Linked DNA regions of Yarrowia lipolytica. The protein of the gene in region 1 purifies or fractionates together with the protein of each later gene. This does not show direct contact. Links are inferred from orthologs where the notes say so. Each region holds a gene or a part of one and is shown on either strand. Other genes may lie near its edges.

Region 1 (5,921 bases):
CCAGAGACCGTTATCATCGAACGAGAGGCTAAGAGAGTTGCTGAAGTAGCTGCCAAAGCTCTCAGAGACTCGCGGAAGAAGGCACAGGCCAACGACATTGGAACTGTGACTTGGACGGGCAAGTTTGGCAGTGCCGGAAAGTTTGGCAAGAAGAAGCAGTCGGCTGGTAAAGTCGGAGTGCCGAAATTTGGGTCAGACAAGTTCTCTTCGTCCTCCATTCTGCAAAACATTAAGGCGAAGAAATCCCTGGAGGAGTCTACTAATGCATACACTGGTCTGATCAACATGAGCGATCTGGACAAGGTCAAGCTGCTGGAGAAGATCAGCGAGAGTCTCAAACTGGCCGGAGCAGGAGGCTTGTCGTCGAAAGACATTGCCAACGAGTTTGCTCTCAAGTTGACTAATCAGGAGGAGGTGGCAGTCATGAGACAGCTACTGAGACAGGCTGGAGAGTGGAATGGAGCCACGAAGAAGTGGAGGTATAAGGCCGTCGAGGATGTGGGAGATGAGGACGAGGAGATACAGGAGGTGGTCCCCGTGGATGAAATGGGAAATAAACTGTAGATAGATATTTATAATGCATGCTTCAACATGAATCTGATTATTGTCATCAGGCACGACAACTATTACTCGGACAACGAAAAGGAAAACCAATCTTGCCTTGCCTACAGTACCAGTTATGGGATAAAAATATGTAAATCCATTTATACATGATGCAAAGATTCTTCTAGTAGTTGAGCTGGTTAATCACAGCATTACGTCTTCCGTTGACCGGCCTCCTTCGCACTCGACGATAGCGCACTCGGACAACGTCCTCAACTGTACTACCTCCGACTCATCAAATGTACTACCACCGACTCATCAACCCATTCTCCAACTTTCTCACCACCTCACCATACTCGTTTCCCTGTCCCTGGTGATTCCTGGTCAGCTCTGATGGAGGAATGTACGCGGGACTGGGTTGGGCCTGGATATGGTCCGCAGGATTAACCATAGCCGTTGCTCTCTGAATAGGCGGCGGAATGGGATCCATGGATCCATATGTCAACGCTCGCGGTCGTCTCGAACCCGAACCCGAGTTCTGCTGCTTCAGACCGGTGCTCCAGTTGGCAGGAGGCTGCATGTGTGCATACTGCGCCGCCTCAGCAGACGTCTGAGCTGCGGAGGAGCCTGCAGCTGGGCCGGGGGGGACCATGGCATTGGCGTTCTGGCCCTGAGCGTGTAGAGGCTGGGACTGCGAAATGGGCTGGGCTGTCGGTGTGGGGTGGAAGACGTCCTTTTCTTCCTTGGGATGTGGCACAAAGGGACCTGTGAACTTGGACTCGGTGATGAACGGATGAGATGCCGCCTGTTGAGGAGTCCACCGCTCAAAGGGATTGTAGTTGAGCAAACCCATGAGGAAATCATACAGCGCCTCGCGGTTGAGCATCTCCTTGTCAATATCCGCCCGCTTCATATCCTTCTTATGCAAGGGGTACTCCATGATAATGGTTTTGAGATTTGCAGATGTGAAGTACTGCTTGGACTCCTTTTCATCCACGTTAAACTCACGGGAGTATCGCTCCCGCGACTTGAGCCGGTATCGCTTGCGGCCCTGGTCGTCCACAATCTTTTCCATGAACTTGCCGCTGTTCTTGCCCATCTCAACCATCCAATTAGGAGGGTCACCCAGAGATGCCACTATTCGAGACAGCTGGTTGTACTCAGACGCTCCAGGGAAGATGGGAAGACCGAGGAATAGCTCGGCAATGATGCAGCCCATGGACCACATGTCGATGGAGGTGGTATATGGGATACCGAGCAACACCTCGGGCGATCGGTAAAACCGCGATTGGATATATGTGTAGACAGTTTTTCTTTCGTGGCAAGCAGACCCAAAGTCAATCACCTTGATAATGGGACTATCGAGGTTTTTGAGCAAAATGTTTTCGGGCTTGAGATCACAATGGATGAGTTTGGCGTTTTTCAGCACTGTGAGAGAGTCCAGAAGCTGGCGAGAAAACACCCTGACGAGATTGATAGACAAGCCCCGGAACTGGTTCTGTTTGAGAAGTTCGTAGAGGTTAGAACTCAGCAGCTCAAACACGAGACAGTAATGTTGCTTATGCAAAAACTTGTCCTTGAGCCGCAAAATGTGGTGCTCGTCCTTGTTGTCGACCGAGTTATTCAGGTACTCAAGAATCGACACCTCCATCATGCTCTGGTTTAAGAACGCTGGGTTGTTCTTAATCACCTTGACCGCCACAATATCCTTAGTCTTCATGTTCTGGCACTTGACCACTTGCCCAAACGTACCCTGACCCAAAATATCTAGTACCAGATAGCGCTTGTTTTCGTCAGTACCCAGGACGTCATTAACGTACAGAATGTAGTCGTTGTCTCTGTTGTCGTGGCCATTGTTAAGCTTCGGCTCACTGGGCTTGGTGAGCACCCTGCGTGGGTTCTTGGACGACTCGTAGTTGAAGCCCGAGTTGCAGATCTGGTACGTGGCTGACAGCTGCAACGTCAGACACATGAGAGGCGACATGTAGCCGCCCTCGGGGATTGCCCGACGATTCTGGGGTCTTGGGTTGACCTGGGGATTGAGGTCAGAAGCCCGTTCAACCGGTCGGAAGGATGGAGGAGGAATTGACGCAGGCGGCTCCTGCGGTTGCGGCTGAGGCTGTATCGGTGGCTGTGGTGGAGCTGCATGAATGGGCTGAGGAGCCACGTGTACCGCTTGAGGGGCCGACTGAGGAGCTGTGATGGGAGGTGGTTGTGTTTGAGGTGTTTGTTGTGCCTGTTGCGTCCAATAGTATGGCTTTGTTGCCGGCATGGCGGGATTGTAATGCTGCTGGGGTGTCTGTTGATGCTGCTGCTGCTGCTGCTGCTGGGGTTGTTGAGATGGTTGGCCTTTGCGCACCGGTGACACCCGCGATCGGGCGTAGTTGCCTGCGGGGGTGCTGTGAGGGGACGCCCAGGGGTTGTAAGAAGCCGATTGGGGCGTTACAGGTGAAGAGGACATTTGCACTGATCCCAGAGGAGTGCCGGGCTGCATCTGAGGTGCCAGTGGCGTGCCGGGTTGCGACCTATACAGCGGTTCATGTGGCGACGAATGTTGTTGATGCTGGAGCCCGGGGGGCAGGCCGTACTGTGTCTGCGTCGGGGGATAGTGGCTGGGTTCGTGTGAGGGTCTGCGGGTCGACACAGGCGACGAGGGCTCGTATTGGTGCATGAGCTGCGGGTGGGGCAGCTGTTGGGTCGACAGGGCGTTGGACATGGACGTCTGGAACTGCGGATGCGGTTGCGAGGGCGAAAAAGGACCCATCTGCTGTTGGTGGTAGTACAGACTGCGTTGTGAGTGGGACATGTGCGGAGATCCCATTCCTGCTGAAGTTGAAGAGGCAGCGGCTGCCGAGCTCGAGGCCGACACGTTGGGCGCGCTCTCAAAGCTCTTACGGTAGTAGTCTGTCGGGTACGGTGGCTGTTGTTGTTGCTGTTGTTGCTGCTGCTGATGCTGCTGCTGCTGTTTGTGTCCGATCAGCGACGGCATCAGGTGCCCGTTGGACGACATTTTGCGGTGATGCGGCGACGGCGAATGGTCCATCACGGTCACGGCGGCGGTCGGTGTCAGGCTTGCACTCCGATCGACAAGCGAATGTTGAGCGAGCAGTGGCACAGAGTGTTTGCGGAGCGCGATCGAGCCGAATGACGTGGCCTCGTGAGAAGGATAGGGTGCAGACGCAATCTCGGCGTGGTCCGAGGCGGAAGAGTCCCAATGGCAGAGATACAAGTGCAGATACACTTGGTGATGTGGAGTGTCAGTGTAGCCCAAACCAAAGTCTAATTCATAACATGGGGGGGACCACAGTGGAAAACGTCAAACAAGGAAGTGGAAGCAATCTCTTGGCGTGTTTGAAGGGGGTAACATAATAAATGCCCCCCGGTGAACAGGTGGACCAGAAAAGGCCATCAGTAGGTCCGTCGCCGCCATCGCATTCGTCCCGGTCACGTGACCTCCCACCTCCCACCTCCCATTCGATACACTTCCTGCTGCACTACATGCGGTGACGTGTGAGCACATATTGTAGCATCAGTTGTTTCATGCGGCGGCGGCGGAATGCTTACTAATGCGCTTGAGCGGGGTGTTCTGGGGGGAGGGTGCTCTTGGTCGTCGCATCGGTTACCCTACCGTGGTACTCTCGGTCCTGTCATACTGCTACCAGAAACTCGCGCTCGAGCCCCCTATCACTACTGTGCCAGTATATCTATGACGCATTCTACTGAGGGTAATTGCGGGCACAGCAGGGGTCTGTCAAGCTTTTTTTACCCGTTGGGTTATTATTAGTATTTCCACTTCTCTTCCAAACCTTTCAACTAGCTTTCCAACTAATCTGCATAACTACGCTGCAGTACAGACAGTACAATACACACACATGAGCCACCAAGAAGAACACTACGCGTGGCGACAGACGCTCCAGGACATCACAATCACCTTCCCCGTGCCTCCAGGCACTCGTGGCAAGCAGATGGATATCAAATTCACCCCCACGACCATCTCGGCAGGTGTCGTGGGCCAGCCTCCCGTTCTTCAAGGCGATCTGTTTGGCAAAATCGCCCCTGAAGAGTCAACGTGGACTGTGGAGGACCAGAGAGAAGTCACCATCAGCATTGAGAAGGTCCACAACCAGGAATGGTGGCCACACGTGGTTACCACGGCCCCCAAGATTGACGTTTCCCAGATCGAGCCAGAGAAGTCCAACCTCAGTGATCTGGACGGAGAAACACGAGCCATGGTGGAAAAGATGATGTACGACCAGCGGCAGAAGGAAATGGGCCAGCCCACGTCGGACGAGCAGCGCAAGCAGCAGCTCCTGGAGAATTTCAAAAAACAGCACCCGGAAATGGACTTCTCAAAGGCAAAGATCAACGAGGGCTTTGGAAACATGCCTCAATAAGCGAACCAACCAGCTCATCGAAGCTGTCGGTTGCAGTAGCAATCATCTAGGCGTGGTTCCATTCTTGTGGTGTAATTCTGTCTGTCACGGACAAGTCCACGATACATTATTGGTCTAAATAAGTTATTTTCATTCATATAGTTATGCGATTGTATTTGTAATTCAATGTATCAGAATCCAAAGGAGAAGGCGCTCATGTCGGGCTCCTGGAACTGGCTCGGGGGAGCTGGTTTTTTGCCATTTCTTTCCTTCTTAGTCTTGTCACCGTTCTCAGTGTTGTCTTCGGGCTTATCCGCCTTTGGTTTGTCCTCCTCCTCCTTCTTCGCAGCATTGACACCATTCTTTTCAGTGCCGCTCTTTGGTTTGTCCTCTGTCTTCGGAGAATCATGGAAACTGTCCAGCATCGAGGGAGGTTCACTGGACGTTTTTTCTTTCTTGGGCTCCTCATATCCACTCAGCATGGAAGGTGGCTCCTGGAAACTATCCAACATAGAAGGAGGATGACTAGCGTTGGTCTTGGACTCCTTCTTTGGCTCATGGAACCCATCCAACATCGAAGGAGCTCCTTTCCCACCACCACCCATGTCAAATCCCTCCAACATGGAAGGACCCTCGCTAGCAGGAATGGGGGCCGGTTTGGATTTGAAGTCCCTGAACGCAGCAAGGGAGTCCGCGTCAGGCTTCTGGTTCTCCTGGACGTCCTCATCAGCCTTCTCAGGAACCTCGTCCTTCTTGAATTTCCAGTTTCGGACAAGATTCAAGGCAATGACCTCGCAGCCCATTCGAGAGTATAGCTTGGCAGTAGTGAACACACTTTGCAGCTCGGTGGCTGATGTGACGCCGTTGTTGGAGCTCACCACCTTAAACTTGGAGTCTCGCAGGAACTGGTACAGAATCAACAGAGCTGGGTCGTTGGAAAGGAACGACCGCGAGTTGGACACGATATGTGCAGAGCCCCGCTTCTTATCCTGATACTCGTGGGAA
Region 2 (4,264 bases), on another chromosome or scaffold:
CGGCTGTAGCGCCACCCTTCATTGTCGTACTCACCTTGCTTTTGCTAAACAGCAACTGGCACTTCGAGCTACTCATGTGTTCAACAATCACAAAACTGTCGTGGGAAGTTGAAGGCGAAAAATCAACCGAATTAGCACGCTTCATGAATGGTTGAAGAGGTCGCTATCGGTTGCGGTGGCGCTGCACGATACAGAGTTTAAACTCTGGGGAGGCGTGCTATGATACGCGAGATGACGTTGCGTAGTGGGCAATGGGAGAGTAGGAGCGGGTGTTTTTGATCCAAAAAAAAATGATAATAATGATGAAATTGAGTCACTTGTGAGAATTATTTAATAAAATTCCAAAAATTTACACCATACGACACTGAAATGGGCCCTACAAGTAGCCATCACTCACATGGAAACGGAGATGAAACTTACAGTGTGGTGTATCAGAGAGAGTGGAGAGGGTTACAAAAATGATACAAGTACAGGTACAGTATCAGAAATTTTCATGCTGTAAAGTTGATAGGTCGTCATTTATCTTGCAAGTACTTGTTGCTTACCAATATACATTTGGTTGTCCTTTGCACCAACTCTCTGTAGCACTGCCTATGGTGCCAAAACAGGCATCTACTGTACATACGTTCTGTATTTGTTCAAGCGGCTAAGCATTGCCCGGATGGTCACTGTACATGATTTACTAATTATACGTACAGTATGTACTGTAAGTACTGTACCAGTACGATCCACTTCACCTTCAACTACTAGTCTTGTAGAAATGCACTCTATTTACAGAAAACTACTTGTACTGTACCATTAGTCTCTGAGAGCTACCCTAAGCTCGTCTACCTCTACCCCAGAAAAATGTATATGCCGTCATTCACCCTTTCAGTCTCAATTCAGACGCACTCCCTGAACACCCTTGTTAGTAACGCTTGCAATCCAATCTCCCGATGCACTCCAGCAAATGTTATTAACTTCGGCCGAGTCCGTGAAGGCCGAGTCCAGATGGTAGTCGCCCGGCACGGCCGTGTTCCACAAGATGATCTGTGAGTCGTCAGACGAAGATGCCAACAATCTCTTTCGCTGTCCTCCTACAACCACGCTCTGGGGGCACCATTGGATGGCGTTCACAGGAGCCTGGTGCTGCTGTAGCACGTCTATGGGCATGCCCGGTTGGCGAATATCCAGAATGAGCACCTTACTCGAGTTGCCTGCAAAAGTAGCCAAAATGTTGCCGTCGTAAGGGCATCCGGCAATTCGCACTAGAGGCGGTGGTTTGGGCGGGTCGTATATGATTGTAGAATGGTCGAGGGCTCGGAGATCGAAGACTCGGACCGATCCGTCGGCCCCAACCGATGCAAACACATCTGTGGACCCCGCTGTGAATTGCACGTCGTAGACCTCTTGGTCGTGGGCAATGAGCTGGGTGCGTGCGGACGATGTATTGAGGTCCCACAGCGTGCATGTCGTGTCTATGGATGAAGTGATGATGAGATGTGGCGCGACCTTGTTCCAGTCGAACGAGGTGATAGGCGAAATGGACCCGGACTTGGAGTTGGACAGCGAACATCGCTGCTGCAAAAACCCTTTGGACGAGTCATACGACCAGATGCGCAGACAGTCACCTGATGTGGCAAACTGGCGCTTTCCCTGAGCATCAAGCCTTGAGTCCCACGCCAGTTTGGTGCATGGATATGGCACCGATGCTTCTGCCGCCAAGTTGAACGAATTGCCTTCTGTGTGCACCACCTGGATTTTGTTCTTGGACTCATCGTTGCACGTGCCCACCGCCAGGCACGACATGCCGTCTGCAGCCGGAGTGCTCCAGCTAACTGAGTACAGCGGCATGGTGGACTCGAAATATGCAGATCTTCGCGGTAGCTGGTAGTCGCTCGGCGCGTACTTCATCCCTGTAGAAGGAGCGTAGGAGCTAGCCTGGGCAGACTGCTCCCACATGTATGGTTCTCCTGGAGCCGCCGACGCGCTGTATCTGCTCGTCTTGGCTGCTGTATGAGGTCCCGACGAACCAGCTGTAGCTTCTTCATCGTATGGATTCCACCCAGGCGGGTATCGCTGCTGCTGGGGCGATATCGGTTGCTGCTGGGCAGTTGAAAAATGCGAGAATGACGACCGCTTTCCTAGAGACGGACGCATTTCCGGGCCCTGGTGTGTGATGATGGATGCAATATTGGGGTGAAGGTGGTGTATACCGGGTGCATTTGTTGGTCGTGAACTTTATGGGGTAGCTAGCGCACGACTGAACATTGTTAGCTGCCAGTACCAATACGCACACGAACACCGAGAGGAGGACATTGTAGGAACAAGAGTGCTACTGGGAAGAGAAATATAATTTAGAGCTCTGAGTAGCAGTATAGGAGTTGTTATTAAACTGGAGATCTTGCTGAAGGGGTCATTTCAGGAGTCTGTCACCACGTCATTGGGCACGTGACCAGAACTAGCGGCGGAAGCACACACGCCAAGATACGAACTTGATCATGATTGGTCATATAAGTACTGTGGCTGTAATTCCTGCCTCTTTCTCCGCACAGAACTGGTTTTGAGTCTACAGGTATCCTTATCACAAGCCTGACAGTCATGGTACGGACTTGTACCCCGCCCCTCAGCTTACACGTGCATCACCAAGCACACTTGGTAGCTGCAAGATAAAGTTGAGCTGGACCTGAGTGAGGATGCACAACCTGTAACCAACACGACCTCAGATTTGTGAGACCACACACATCCTACCCTGCATCCAATAGACAACGACCATCATGTCATACCAACGAAGAATCATGAAGGAGCTGGAACGGCTAAAAACCGCTCCCCCAAACTGTGAGTATCACTACGGACGTTCACCCACTCTTTTGCGCCTATCATACTGTACTTGTACTAACCCAGCACACATCACACTGGTTGAAGCCAATGACCTGGAAACATGGCAGATAGATTTGGAGGTGAACAATGACAACCCGCTGTACACTGGCAAAACGTTCCGACTCCAATTCATCATTGGTCCCAATTATCCGGTGGAAAGCCCCCAGGTGCAATTCATGCCACTGCCAGCTCGACCCATCCCCATCCACCCTCACATCTACAGTAATGGTCACATTTGCCTGGACATTTTGGGCGACGAATGGACACCGGTCCAGACGGTGGCGTCGGTGTGCATTTCCCTACAGTCCATGCTAGGAAGTAACGACAGAGACGAACGACCTCCGGATGACGAACGATACATCAAGCATGCCCCCAAGAACCCCAAACAGACTCGTTTCGTTTATCATGATGACACCGTCTAACCTACTAACTAAGAACATATAAATGCGCAACTATCTCGTTTCTTGTACAAATACACTTGTTACACATCCACGCACACCTGTTCTAAATCATATATTCATATTCAATAAATCAATGCAAAAAATGTAATGCAAATGTAATGCAATAACATGTCTGCCCGTTATTTCAGTATTGTAGGCAGCATAGTATCATGACGTGTATGCAAACTTGTCCTTCAACGACGTGGCTCCACCCTTGGAAACCCCTCTGTTGACCTTTAAGGACTCCCTCTCCTGCTTCAGCAGCTTCAGAGCTGGAGCAAACACCACAAACAACTGCTTGTGGTCCGGAAGAAGAGTCGCAAACTCGCTGTAGCTAGTGGGCAACTCATACGACAGCACCTCCAGCACATCCTCGCTGCACACACTGGAAGGCCGGGTGAGGTTCTGCTCGTTGCAGTGATCAGACCGCACCTCCTCTAATCGCTTGTAGGCCTCTCCTTGGTGTCTCTGGGTCAATGCGGCCTCCGAAAGTGGCCTGTCAAAGAAGCTAGAAGTCGATTTGTTGTTTGAGATCGGAGTGGTTTTGGTAGCGGTTGTGGCTGCACTGCCAGCGGGTTTAGGAGCAGCAGGTTTGCTGCTAGTGCTGGAATCGGATGTCAGGTTGATGGTAGCTGTGGTCTTGACCCTGGAAGGGGTTTTGGAAGCAGTAGTTCTCTGGAGGCCAGCTCCATTGAGGGTCCGAGCCACCGGCTTCTTCGCAGTTGTGGGAGTGCTCGTCTTGGTCACTCTGTTTTTTATACTGGAAGTGGCCGTGGTGGTCAGAAGAGCAGCACGGCTTCGAGAAGTTGGTTTGGGATTGGGTTGAGCGTACGCTCCTGAGGGAGTGAGGGGATCCAGAGAGTTGGTCCTTCTCGCAAACGAACTGGCTGTTTCGAAACCCATAGGCTCGCCTTCGGGGCGACTGTTCGTCCGATTGAGACCAGGCACGGTCTTTTTGCTGCCAG

Evidence for each region. Proteins that work in one complex are often made in the same cells at the same time.
Region 2: the proteins of YALI1_C23818g (region 1) and YALI1_F39550g purify together in Saccharomyces cerevisiae (affinity purification with mass spectrometry; 3 studies listed by BioGRID). This does not show direct contact. The link is inferred for Yarrowia lipolytica from reciprocal best matches to the Saccharomyces cerevisiae genes YAK1 and YPL247C.

What each region holds. Positions count from the first base shown.
Region 1 is NC_090772.1:2,378,270-2,384,190, forward strand, and holds YALI1_C23818g (uncharacterized protein), read right to left. Parts: upstream 3,587-5,921; coding exon 848-3,586; downstream 1-847. Other genes in the region: YALI1_C23755g (uncharacterized protein), read left to right, coding at 1-564; YALI1_C23826g (uncharacterized protein), read left to right, coding at 4,416-4,937; YALI1_C23873g (uncharacterized protein), read right to left, coding at 5,108-5,921. UniProt on the Saccharomyces cerevisiae protein: Negative regulator of the cell cycle acting downstream of the cAMP-dependent protein kinase. Part of a glucose-sensing system involved in growth control in response to glucose availability. Phosphorylates POP2.
Region 2 is NC_090775.1:3,952,952-3,957,215, forward strand, and holds YALI1_F39550g (uncharacterized protein), read right to left. Parts: upstream 2,140-4,264; coding exon 877-2,139; downstream 1-876. Other genes in the region: YALI1_F39527g (uncharacterized protein), read right to left, coding at 35-145; YALI1_F39557g (uncharacterized protein), read left to right, coding at 2,757-3,281; YALI1_F39603g (uncharacterized protein), read right to left, coding at 3,468-4,264.